Linked DNA regions of Schizosaccharomyces pombe. The gene in region 2 interacts genetically with the main gene of each other region. Each region holds a gene or a part of one and is shown on either strand. Other genes may lie near its edges.

What was found.
Region 1: mutations in byr2 (region 2) and odr1 together harm fitness less than expected from each alone (positive genetic interaction), as found in Schizosaccharomyces pombe (one large-scale study listed by BioGRID).
Region 3: of byr2 (region 2) and ste4, changing one suppresses a phenotype caused by changing the other (phenotypic suppression), as found in Schizosaccharomyces pombe (2 studies listed by BioGRID).

Annotation. Positions count from the first base shown.
Region 1 is NC_003423.3:4,046,826-4,050,715, forward strand, and holds odr1 (haloacid dehalogenase-like hydrolase ), read left to right. Parts: upstream 1-2,109; 5' UTR 2,110-2,353; coding exon 2,354-3,262; 3' UTR 3,263-3,373; downstream 3,374-3,890. Other genes in the region: acetyl-CoA C-acetyltransferase Erg10, read right to left, coding at 1-330, 391-401; SPOM_SPBC215.11C (aldo/keto reductase family protein), read right to left, coding at 3,637-3,890.
Region 2 is NC_003423.3:1,739,421-1,744,371, forward strand, and holds byr2 (MAP kinase kinase kinase Byr2), read right to left. Parts: upstream 2,925-4,951; 5' UTR 2,877-2,924; coding exon 897-2,876; 3' UTR 628-896; downstream 1-627. Other genes in the region: mrpl7 (mitochondrial 54S ribosomal protein uL5m), read left to right, coding at 1-421; RNA-binding protein Mlo3, read right to left, coding at 4,693-4,951. UniProt on the Schizosaccharomyces pombe protein: Serine/threonine protein kinase involved in conjugation and sporulation. It is thought that it phosphorylates the byr1 protein kinase which itself phosphorylate the spk1 kinase.
Region 3 is NC_003424.3:1,294,779-1,298,175, reverse strand, and holds ste4 (MAPK cascade adaptor protein Ste4), read left to right. Parts: upstream 1-1,632; 5' UTR 1,633-1,665; coding exon 1,666-1,762; intron 1,763-1,920; coding exon 1,921-2,618; 3' UTR 2,619-2,860; downstream 2,861-3,397. Other genes in the region: protein Utp8, read right to left, coding at 1-786; SPOM_SPAC1565.03 (uncharacterized protein), read right to left, coding at 3,193-3,397. UniProt on the Schizosaccharomyces pombe protein: Essential for mating and meiosis.

The DNA.
Region 1 (3,890 bases), 2.3 Mb from region 2:
GCAACGACAATCTCAGCATTTCCAGTCATGATAGTTTGAGCACCGAGAATTGTTGCCTTCATACCAGAGGCACAAACCTTGTTAACAGTAGTACAAACGATGGAACGAGGGAGTCCAGCACCTAAGGCGCATTGACGAGCAGGGTTTTGGCCAAGATTGGCTGAGACGACATTACCCATAAACACCTCATCAACATCAGAAGGCTTAATATTGACCCTTTCAAGAGCGCCCTTGATGGCAATAGAGCCTAATTTGGTGGCAGGAAGAGAAGCGAAACTGCCGCCAAAGCTGCCCATGGGTGTGCGAACAGCAGACACAATGTAAACCTCTCTATAAAGAAAATGTTAGGAAATTTATAAATGAATCAAGTTTCACTTTAATATCACATACGTGTTAACCATTTCTTAATATGTCAAAGAATATACAAGCCAAAAATGTATATGATGAATGGTGGTTTTGCGCACGTTGTGCCATATATACTAGTACTATAATGCGCGATACCAGGGTAAGGTGAGTGTATTGTATTCTTTCAAAAGGTAACGTTCGACATCTCTAAGCAAAACTTTGCGCTGTATAATTTGTCAGCAATACTACACTACGCTATAATACACTACATTGCGTATCACTATATGTCACATGTTCTAATTATATATCGTATTATGTATGATACGATATTGAGATTGATCTTAATAATAATCTATCAAGATCTATATTATCTGAATACTATAATTAGAGCTACTGCTGAACCTCGTTCCTCAGTTCAGTTATAGGCTATATCAGTGATAGGTAACATTATAATCTAGTTAATACAATACCTATACTCAGTTGCTACTTATATTACCTGTGTATTGCGATATAATAGACGACAAGGAAAACTCACCGCAGTTTTACATATCGTTAAAACGAATACGAAACTGCGTAGCTCACATAATTTGTGTAAAGCGTAATTGCTGGACACAACTGTAAGCACAATTAAGGTAAAATAGCGGTTTATGAGGTAGTAATATGCAATTCTATCGAACAAATCAATTGATGAATGGACTAATGCTATTTGCTAATGATGTTGTTTCCTACTTAATTTACAAGTGTGAAGATTTCTAAAGGTTTTTGAGAATTAAAACATATTTGCAGTTTAAGGAATTGAGACAATTGTTACGGTGGTAGAATAAAAATCTTCTAACATGGAAAATTAATACGCTGAAAAATTCACAGATCAAAATTTGTTGAGCCTAAAAAATTATTATTATTGAAAAAAAGCATAAAAGGATTAATCAAGCAATTAAAAGGCCACGGTTGAAATACGAAGCCAACTGAGAAGAGATTTATTCGAAATGGTAAACAAAAAAAATAAAAAGAAAGCTATTCTTTGCTTTCTATATAAGTTTGAGTTAATGAATTTTAGTATTAAAATAAAATTTAATGATTAAATATGACAACTTGATAAATTGATAGATCCAACTAAATATTATTACCTTTTTCTTTGTTTACTTTTATTTTTCCAGCTCATTTCCAGCTCATAATTAATTTCTACATAAGGACATCGCTAGTTAGAAGTTTAATAAGGAGTCTTACAATGTCTATACGACGGTGAATTAGTTCCTGTGTAGTCTCTGTTCTGGTGAAACTGTAAGTGTAGCGAAAGGCAACTGCTCTGGGCTCAAGGTCCCAAAAGTATAGTTGTACTAATGTCAAAGAACTTCCCACAGTTTGAGCTACAGAATTTCACGTAGCAGAAAAATGTATAATAAAAATCCTAATGAAAAAATTTCAAAGAAAATAAAGAAAGGAAAATTAAATAATCTCTCCATCTTTTTTTGAACAAAGCTAGCGTTAACTTGTTGTCTAAATAATTTTTTGCATTTTTTGTTTACATGTTTATTCAAACAGCTGTTTGCTCTTCTTTCCTTCTCACTACAAACGCATACCCTTCATTTTACAAACCCTCCATACTCGTCTTGCCGTACAATATCTCTTTCTGTTTTAATAACGCGCCGGAGTGGGATCGAGATCTTGACTACCGAAGGTCCGGCATTCAACATGCTTTTGTCATCCCAAAAGTGGGGAATGCTACTTAAAGTTATTTAAACACCCCACAACCTTTGTATTCACAAACCAAAGGGATCACCTCAGCTGTGAACGACAGGTACGCTTCTTCAATACAGCAATATTAGTCAGCAAGTTATATTGTATCTGTGTCATCTTTCGGGCTATAAATACAAATACGATAGATCATTGTGGGTATTTGTGAAAACAGTTACTTTGATTTTTAAATAAATTGATCAATTGTTTATCATAGACAGGTAAATTGGACGTTAACAGTGTTTTGATTAAAAATCTCATACAAAAAAGAAAGATGCCGTCTAAAGAAATTGACATTAATCAAAAGAAAAACGTCTTACCTAAACCGGAGGATATTCAACTCATTATCTGTGATGTTGATGGTACTTTGCTGGGACCGGATCATAAGCCACATCCGCGAAACCTTCGTGCTTTAAAGTATCTTCGTGAAAATTATCCTCAGCTACCTTTTGTGTTAGCTACTGGTAGACAGCGAACATCCGTAGGTAATATCAGAGAAGCGTTAGGTTTACATGTCTTTCCTTGTGTTCACCTTAACGGCTGCGTAGTTTACGATAAAGGTGAAATCGTTGCTTGCGCAGCTCTTAAAAACTCTTTAGCCATCGATATTATTGATAAGCTCAAAGACATCCAAACGTGTGCACTTTTCGGTTACGATGAAGATTACGTTTACCAAATTAAACAGGAATCGGATAAAAAACAACATGGTATTAAGTTTTTGCGACTCTGTGGGGAAACAGTAAAGGACGACGCCAATGAAATGCTCCCTCAGCTTAAGGGCCCGAAAGACATCTTCAATAAAATGGTAGTTTTTGATGATGATACTAACGGCCTTGAAGAAGCCAAAAAGCGACTGGCTGGCATTCCTTCGGATGAAGTTGCTCTTACCCAAGCGCTTCCCCAGACTTTTGAAATAATTCCTCCCAATGATAACAAAGGGGTTGCGCTCAAGAATATTCTTTCAAAGATTTATCCATCCATTAGCTTGGAAAACGTCCTAGCTTTTGGTGACGGAGCAAATGATGTTTGCATGTTTGAATTGGCAGGCTATTCCGTAGCCATTCGTAGTGGAATGCCTGTCGCCTTAAAGGCAGCCAAGGCAATTTCCGACGTTTCAAGTGCTGAAGGTGCCGTTGGTGAAGTGTTGGAACGAATTTATAATATCCCTCCTGATTTTAATTAAATTTAACAACCTATATAGTATCTTTTTCCTGTTTAAATTATAACAAAAAAAATTCAATATCTAATTCCCATACAATAATAAATATCAAAATAACGAAAATTACAATACATATTATATATAAGCATTCGTAAACTTCTTTATTTACGTAGCCGCGGGTATAACTATTTTTCTGTGAATGCCGTGTATTTTTACTTTAGCATGTTAAAAACTGCTTTCTCTTAAACAGTGCCTTGTAGACCTTACGAGGAATATGAAAAATCAATACAAAAAGATGCTTTTAATTTAATCATGAGATCATTTTATAACATTATCAACATATGGAAATTCCAAACATCGTGGCATTAGTAAGTTTCCATAGAAAGAAAAAGAGAAATCTAAGAAGACTTTTTCTTCTCCTCTTCTTGACGCTTAGCATCTTCGCTTTTACCCTCCTCATCCAATTTGGCAAACACCTCAGAAGATAATTGGATTCCAGCGGCCTTGACGTTTTCTTCGAGATGATCTACTTTGCTAGTACCAGGAATAGGTAGCATAACCGGACTGCGTTGTAAAACCCAACTCAAAGCTATTTGACTAGTGGAACGATCAAGGTCTTTTGAAACAGCGTCCAGGATGGTTCCGGGTTTGG
Region 2 (4,951 bases):
TACAATGATGGCATTTCGTTCTATAACGGGTTTGCAGCCCGAAATAGTCTATGCACGTAAGGACGTTTCTCCCTGGAAACTTCGTTCAGGTGTGCCAGTAGGTGTAAAGGTTACTCTAACTGGAGAATCTATGTATACATTTCTTTCAATCTTATCTGAGTTGGTTCTTCCTCAGCTTCATGATTTCAAGGGCCTGAGTCCTACAAGCGGAGATCAAACAGGAAACATATCTTTTGGTTTACCAAGTGAAGTCATGCCTTTATTTCCCCAAATTGAAGCTGTTTATGAGATGTATCCGCACTCTTTACCTGGATTTAACGTAAATATAACAACCAATTCCAAAGATACCCGTTTGGCTCGTTTTTTCGTCAGCAGTCTTATTCCATTTACAGATGGAAATAAGGAAGGCTATGTTGGATAGTAGACAATTTATTTTATATCTACTATACCTAATCTTTTCTCCTCAAGGAGTGAACAAAAAATCCCCTTCTCTACGACTAATGCATACATACGTTTTTGAGTTTTACTTGTTTAAGTGATAGAATTCCCGTAGATATGTGTTATTATATATTTATGTTATCGTTTTCACAAAGTAAATAAAAATAAAAAGTTTTTTCTTGAAAAGGAATAATCAATGGATATTTTTTAAACAAACTGAACATGTAAAATAGTATTTTTTTAGTAACTAAACTCATAATGGTATTTATCAAGGACATTCACAAAATCATTAAAAACATGAATATTGTAGAAAAATATAGCAACTTAAATCATACGGTTTATAGGTTAAATAAATTCATTAGTTCTAAATGGCATAAATGCAATGATAATGATGCAAAAAAACATAAAAAAGATAGATCGTAAAATAATGTTTCTGTTTTCATCATAACTTAGCCGGCTTATGAAACGAACGGGTGGCTCAACAACTCTGATGCTGTAGGTCTAAGATTACAATCTATGGCAAACGTTTTCTCAAGGAAATCTATGGCCGATGAAGAAATGTTAGAAGGGAATTCCGGCAGAATGTTCTCCCCAATTCTGAAAATGGCCTGCATTTGATCACAATTCGGATAAGGGTGCTTACTAGTGAGCATCTCGATTACCAAACATCCCAAAGACCAAATATCTGTTTTCTCCGTATGCATAGTTTGCTTCACCACTTCGGGAGCCATCCAAAAAGAAGAGCCTTGAAAAGAAGGGCGAGCACCACCCGTCTTCGTAGAGGTACTATTTAGTTCAAGTTTCTTCGATATCCCAAAGTCCGAAATTTTAATCTTCCCTTTATTATCAACCAAGATGTTCGCACCTTTTATATCACGGTGTACAATGCCGCGTGAATGAAGGTATTCTAAGCCTTTAAGGGTTTGCTTAATAAAGTTCTTGACTAGCGTTTCCTCAAAGCTTCCATACATTGTAAGCAATCCGGCAACCGACCCCCCAGGAACATATTCCAAAAAAATGTTCAAGTGGTCCGAATTTAAGTTAGAACCGAGATATTGGACAATATGCTCATGAGACAACTCCTGTAGAAGAGCAATTTCACCCGCTAATGCATCTAAAAGTTTGGCATGGCGGTCTTTTGATTCAGAAACAGAATCTAAGATCACTTGCTTAACAGCCATCAACTCACCACTAGATGCATTCATACCGAGATAAACTTGTCCAAACGATCCTGAACCTATTAACGCACCACGTATCCATTTGATAGACTGATCATCAGTGTCCTCTTCAAGTGTATTTGTGTCCTCACTTGTAGTGGAAGTTGGAGAAATTGGGGATGGTTGCTCAATAAATGATGGGGATGAACCAGGTGAAAAGGAAAGTACTTGATGGTTGCCATGCGCGCTTTCTGAAAAAACATTATACTTCGACGATTTTTCATTTCCGTTGGACTGGTATAAAGGTTCCACACCAACCATGGTTATGGATTTTTGAAGCGATGGTGGTCTAGAAATACGCTGAGTAGAAGATACAGTAAGTGGAGGATCAAATCCCCTATCAATCCTAGGAAGTCGGTTAACATCTTCAGCAACAGAAATCCTCAGAGAGGAAAGAGGACAAACCAATTCGGAAGGGCGAGCCCGCCGAGAGCTTCTTGGCAAAATTTCTTGACCAAAATTACCAAGATTGTGCCCTTGAGACGTACGTATGCTAAGGTTTCTACGAAGAGAGTTTGATATTGTTTTTTCCAGTAGCTTTGGTTGATGATCGGGGAAAAAATCGGAAATTCTAGAATTAATAAGCTCGCTAGGAGGTCGCTGGTAGGATTCAAATGGTTTCGCATTATTTGAGCGGACACTTCGTTTCTGAGTGCTCGTGGGAAGAACAGAGGAAAGTTTAGGAGAAAGGGAGGACTGTGATGATAATGCTGCCGGTTGAGCCAATTCAATCTCCCAAGAACGGCGGAGGTCTTCAAACGATGGACAAGGCTTTTCTTTTGGCACAATAATTAACCTGTCGCGTTCCGGTGAAGATGAATTAAAACAAATTTGTTTAAATTCTTCTTCAGTAATCAGCTTAATTCGACTACTCTGTGAAACGCATACAATGAATTTTGAAGCATCTTCAAGGCTAAACTTTTTCAAAGCAATAGCGAGTGTTTTCTGGTAATCTCCTCGTGATTGAACTGCTCGAGTTTGCCCGTTACAGGCAATAAACCTCAGTATACATGGACGTGGAAACTCTCGTAAATAGTCTCTTTGTTTTAAAAATTGTTTGCCTTTGGCGGTGTTTTCAATGCCTAGGTCTTTCAGTAAAGGCAAGGTTAAATGATTTAGGTGTCGTCCTTCAATGTTATTTTGTGAAAATTGTTCGATATACTTCTCCAATCCGATACTTTTCAACCATTCTGCTACCTCCTTCGAGGTATAATATTCCATAAATGCAGGAAAGTGGTTGTACAACGTATAACTTCTAAGTTCAAAGTTGGTAGCATTTACGTTTAACCTGCCTCCCTTAGTCTCGTGCTCTTTGACGTAACAATATAACTATACACTTTATAACCGATATTAGTTTCACTAAATCTCATTACCAAAATGAAGCTGCCAAAAAATTCGTAAAGGCTGCTTGTTTATATAGGTATTGCAATTCTCACCCGGCACAGATTCAGATATCTATTAAATAACACTTACGTACATATACGAGTTCCACAAGGAGTCTAAATATCGACGAGAAATTGTAATCAGATATTAAAATCTAAAACTTTCGTATAAACCATGTGTAGCAAGTGAATAATAATCTTTCTCTTTATCTGCAATACAAATGTCGTTAACCACCGTTCAGATACTACTGGTTTAAGGTACGAACGTAAAGTACTGTTTTAACAATTTCAATGTTTCAATCGGTTTCAGAGGACGGCAAGAATCGCGCACTAAAATTAGCAACCCGCAAATGCGCATTCTGAAAGCGATTTTTGGTTTGTAACACAATCACGACGGATCGTACAGATCTTTCAAAAAAATCAAAATTATAAGTGCCAAAAATATATGTGTGGGACTTCAATTTAAATTGTTTGATGTGACAATGGTTCGAACATAAAACCAAGCAATGTTTACCAAAACAAATTTCGAGATACGGTCGGCAATTCAACCATAACAATAATTTACAAATAATAATAAACGTCGGAAGCAAAAAAAACGGGAATGGAAGTGACTAGGGTTTAAAAGTTTCAAAAGAATGCATTGCGCGTAATTCATCAATCAGCGAGTTTAAAATGCAATCGTGGAAAAGTTCTATAAATGTGGTTTACATACAAAGGAAGGAATGAAGCCAGTTCTGTCATGTACAATTTGACAAAGATGAAATAGAGCCATCGAACGCGATGATTTTACGAATAGAAATTCCTCATCCAAACAAGCCGTGCCACATATAGTAAAACAAGACTTGGAATAAGTGTGACGTGAACCAAAAACCATCATGAACATAATAAACACAGTCAAGTTGGGGTATGGAAGCTTTGACTTTCAGCAAACATGCAATAATAAACCCTGTCGGTAAGCTCAACCCAGTATAGTTTAGCAACATGATGATCAAAACAGCTGCCTTGTACAGTAACTTAGATTAAATAAAGTAACAGTAGCCGAAGCTACCATTATCCACCTCTTTTAACCACTGTCTACATAGGTTTTGCTTTTGTATTAAACAAGAAGGGAGCGCTTATCAACCATAAAGGATTTCTGCACAAGAGCTGATAAAGTTGCAAACATAACAGGTGAACAGATATGCTAATAATGAACTCGACTCAAAGCTTAGCTTCTTGGTAGCGTTTAAGCTTGCATACTACAAATCAACAGATATGTCAAAAGTTAGCAAAAGTCAAAACCTCCAACCCAACGTTAACCACCGAAAAAGAAATAAGTAACCAAATTCGTTCGATGTCAATGAAACATATATGTCTATCAAAAAAGAGATATAAATAAAAAATTTAATGAAATTCTTTGAAATAATGGCATAATGGCAATATGACCCAATACACACCATATATACTAACAAGAACTGGTTCAGCTCACTTCTCCAAATCCATTACGAAAGACCCAAAACACAAAAACAACTTCAAGAACTGCCATTCGAAACAGCATTATATTGCCAATATTATTTAACTGAGGGAGTATGTTGTATAGGTCGTTATTAATACCAAGAAGCATTTGACATCTTCAAAATATATGTATATATAGTAGAATCTTCAAATTATTAAAGTTACTCCTTCTCATTTGATCCAAAATAATCATCCATCTCCTTGTCGAGCTCTTCGGCGGATTTTTTAGGACGATTAGGAGTTCTACGGCGGCGTGTAGTCTTCCGCTTGGAAGATTTGGCGCCATTCTTGCTAGCAGTGGCGCTAGCGTTGCTGGCAGGACTTACACGTGCAGCCAAAGAATTCAATTGACGACTAGGATCAAGGATTATCTCAACCTTCATTTTTCTAGTGCCATCAACCAAACGACCCTCATACTGT
Region 3 (3,397 bases), on a different chromosome or scaffold from region 2:
TCTCGTATTCACGAGACGTCTTTCAGAAACTGAAAAAGAATCTACATAATATTGTATAATTTTGTCGACATGTACACTATACAATAAATATACCATGGATGTGGATGAGGTGACATTAGCGCTAAAACTGGTAGACCCTGACTTTGGTACTGAAGAAGTTGTGTCGCTGTTCATCTCGATTTCCTTTGGATTATTATTAGTGCCACTTGCTTCGTTAGATGCTAATCGTACAGCATCAATAGGATTTGCTTGTGAAGGAACATACATTGATTGAAGCAATGTGGCTGATTCGTTAACGGAGGCACTCATGTGAACTTTGTCATCTTCGGGATCGAGAAACGCAATTTTTCCGTTTCGAAATACAATCACTAGTTGACCAGTTGACGAGATGAAATGAAGAGCAAATATTTGTTGGTTGGAAATATCACGATATACAACTTCGCTTTCCTCCTCGAGGTCGTTGAACTTCCAAAGAAGTATTTTCCATTCCCCATTACTTTTAAGAGAGGTGCAGGTCCAAATATAATGCCAATTTCCTTCTTTAATGTAGATGGGTGAGCAGGAAAACCGTGTCTTCTCAGGTAGAGGACATGAAGCGAATAAGCGTTCATCCTTCATATGATAAACTTCAATTCCCTGATTTTCCACTTGAACACATATATAATAAGGAGATTCAACTCCGTTATCCAAAGCAACCGTGCCAGCACTCTGAATTTCATGCTTTTTATTCGATTTATGAATATTCGAAATTTCGCTGAGAAACGATAGTTCACCAAAAGAAGCCATTTTTACTTTAAGTTTAAACACAATTTTCTGAAACTGTGAAAATTGGCAAAATAAGCGTTTCTGAGGTTCAAAAGTTTCACACAGCACTCGGTGGAGATGAAGAGAAGAAGTTACAAAAAAAAATAATTCCTACACAGCTTTGACCTCCACAAATACTAACGAAAATAGGAATTATTGATCAGTAAAATTAAATTAAAGTATTAGAAGCAATGGTTGTTCGACGCTTGTTTTCCACTGGAAAATTTGCGTTCTTACATTCGAGTGCGGTATATCTCGTTATGATACATAAAAACTTTTTGCTCTCAAGTGCTATAACAAAACAACTTTTATTATTTAGTTTTGTCAAATAAGAAAAACAGAATTTTTTTTGTAAACTACTCTTTGTACAACAATGCTACAAAAAATTCTCTTCTCGATTGGGTTTTTTTGCTTTGAGCTTTATTCATACTTGGACAACGTACCGATGTTTGATATCAATTGTGCCTTTATTCTGTGAACTTGAAACTCTAAATTTATTGTTTACCAATTTTTCTAATATAATAGGGATAATAAAACTTTTCTTTAATAAGTGAAAAAAACTGGGCAAGTCAAATTAGCATCGGCATACATGCTCTTGTTTACGTCCCATAATTTACAGATTTTATAGCTAATCCAAATTCAAAGTCCCAAATCACATCCAAAATCACTTTTCCAATAAGATTTAAGGGTCTTATTTTTTATCATTTTTTATGCTGATTTTTGATATTGTATTTAAATTTGCATATCCACTAACTTTTGGTAAATGAGTATGCTTTCTTTGTTATAAAAGTAGTGGGCAGGTCAGCATCAGAAGCATATATATTAACTACGCCCTTTACATTGCTATCCTAAGCAAAATTAATGGGAGATTCTGACGATTTTTATTGGAATTGGAACAATGAAGCAGTTTGCAATTGGATAGAACAGCTTGGTTTTCCCCATAAAGAAGCGTTTGAAGGTATGTATGCATAACAGAAGTTTAATTCAAAGAATTATTTGCTCGCCTCTCATTAATCCTTATTGAATGCTCTTTCTTTTATAGTCAATGGGGGATTGGGAACAATGAGTTTCTCCAAAGTTGGTTCAATTTCATGGCAATTTACTAAGAATTTCTAGACTACCATATTCTTGGAAAAGACATAGACCTGTTAAGTTCAAATGATCTTCGAGACATGGGAATTGAGAGTGTGGGCCATCGTATTGACATTTTATCAGCAATACAGTCAATGAAAAAGCAGCAGAAGGATAAACTGCAGCAAGAAAATAAGGATCAAGAACTGAAAAATATAGAAGAGTCTTACAAGAAGCTAGAGGAAAAAACCGAACATTTATCAGATGACAATGTCTCTTTAGAAAAACGTGTGGAATACTTGGAAACGGAAAACACTAAATTGGTAAAAACACTAAACTCTTTGAACTCGGAATTTCTTCAGTTACTAAGAAAAATTGCCATAAATGTTAAGGAAGGAAGACAGCTTACTACCGAAAATTCATCTGACACTAGTTCGATGACTCACCCTGTTCAGCCTTCACCATCTGTTCTTGGAAGTTTTGATTTAGAGGTTAATGATTCTTTGACAAACGCGGAGAAAAACAGAAAATTAAATGTGAACTTAACCTACAATGAAGTGTTATGCTCCATGTTGCAACGATACCGAATCGATCCAAACACTTGGATGAGCTATGATTTGCTTATAAACTACGATGATAAGGAGCATGCCATACCTATGGATGTAAAGCCACTTCAACTATTTCGAAACCTACAAAAGAGGGGAAAGTCGCCTTCTTTTGTTTTATCTCGACGCTCTTGTTAACTAAGCTTTTTAAAAGCCATCTATTTATGAATTGAATTTAATGAATAGTTTTCAATTTTTTTAATGACTCATTTGCAGATATTTAAGTTATTTTACTTACGCCTTGGTATGTTTATCAGTATTTAAAGATGGATTGATTTTTTTAGCCGTACCTCCTAATATTCTATCTAATATTCTATCTAATATGCTTAAAATATATATTTTTTTTTTTATTCATGGGGTATGCCCTAAGGTTTATTAATATGATATAAATGAATCTATGGAATGTATTAAGACAATGAAAATGAACCATGTAATATAATAACAGAAAAAATTAAACATTAAATTTTAACATGCTTCAACAGGAAATGAAATGACAAAGAAGGTTAACAGCCTAAAAAAAAAATTGAAGCGTGATTAGAAATTTTTAGAAAAAAATTGTGGTTTTTTAATGAATTTGAAACCAATGATATATGCAATATGTGAAGTTCGTAAATAAGGCGCAAAATTATGCCCCGAAACGTAGTTTACTCCGTCAATAAAATATTCATCATGTTGTACTACGCTTATTTTTGTAAGCTATGTATTAACAATTTCAGACAATGCAACATGCGTTGGGTTGCTTGGAGTACACGGTGGTATACCGAAATTTGGAAGGAGACAAGTAACTCATGTTAGACAAGCTTTGTAGAAAAACACGCATTTTTGGCTGAAACCAAATTAGTTCCTTTTCGCTTGATTCGGAAGATGAATAAAAATTTGGCTGGGGTTTTGATCCCGTATGCCTATTAACAAATTTA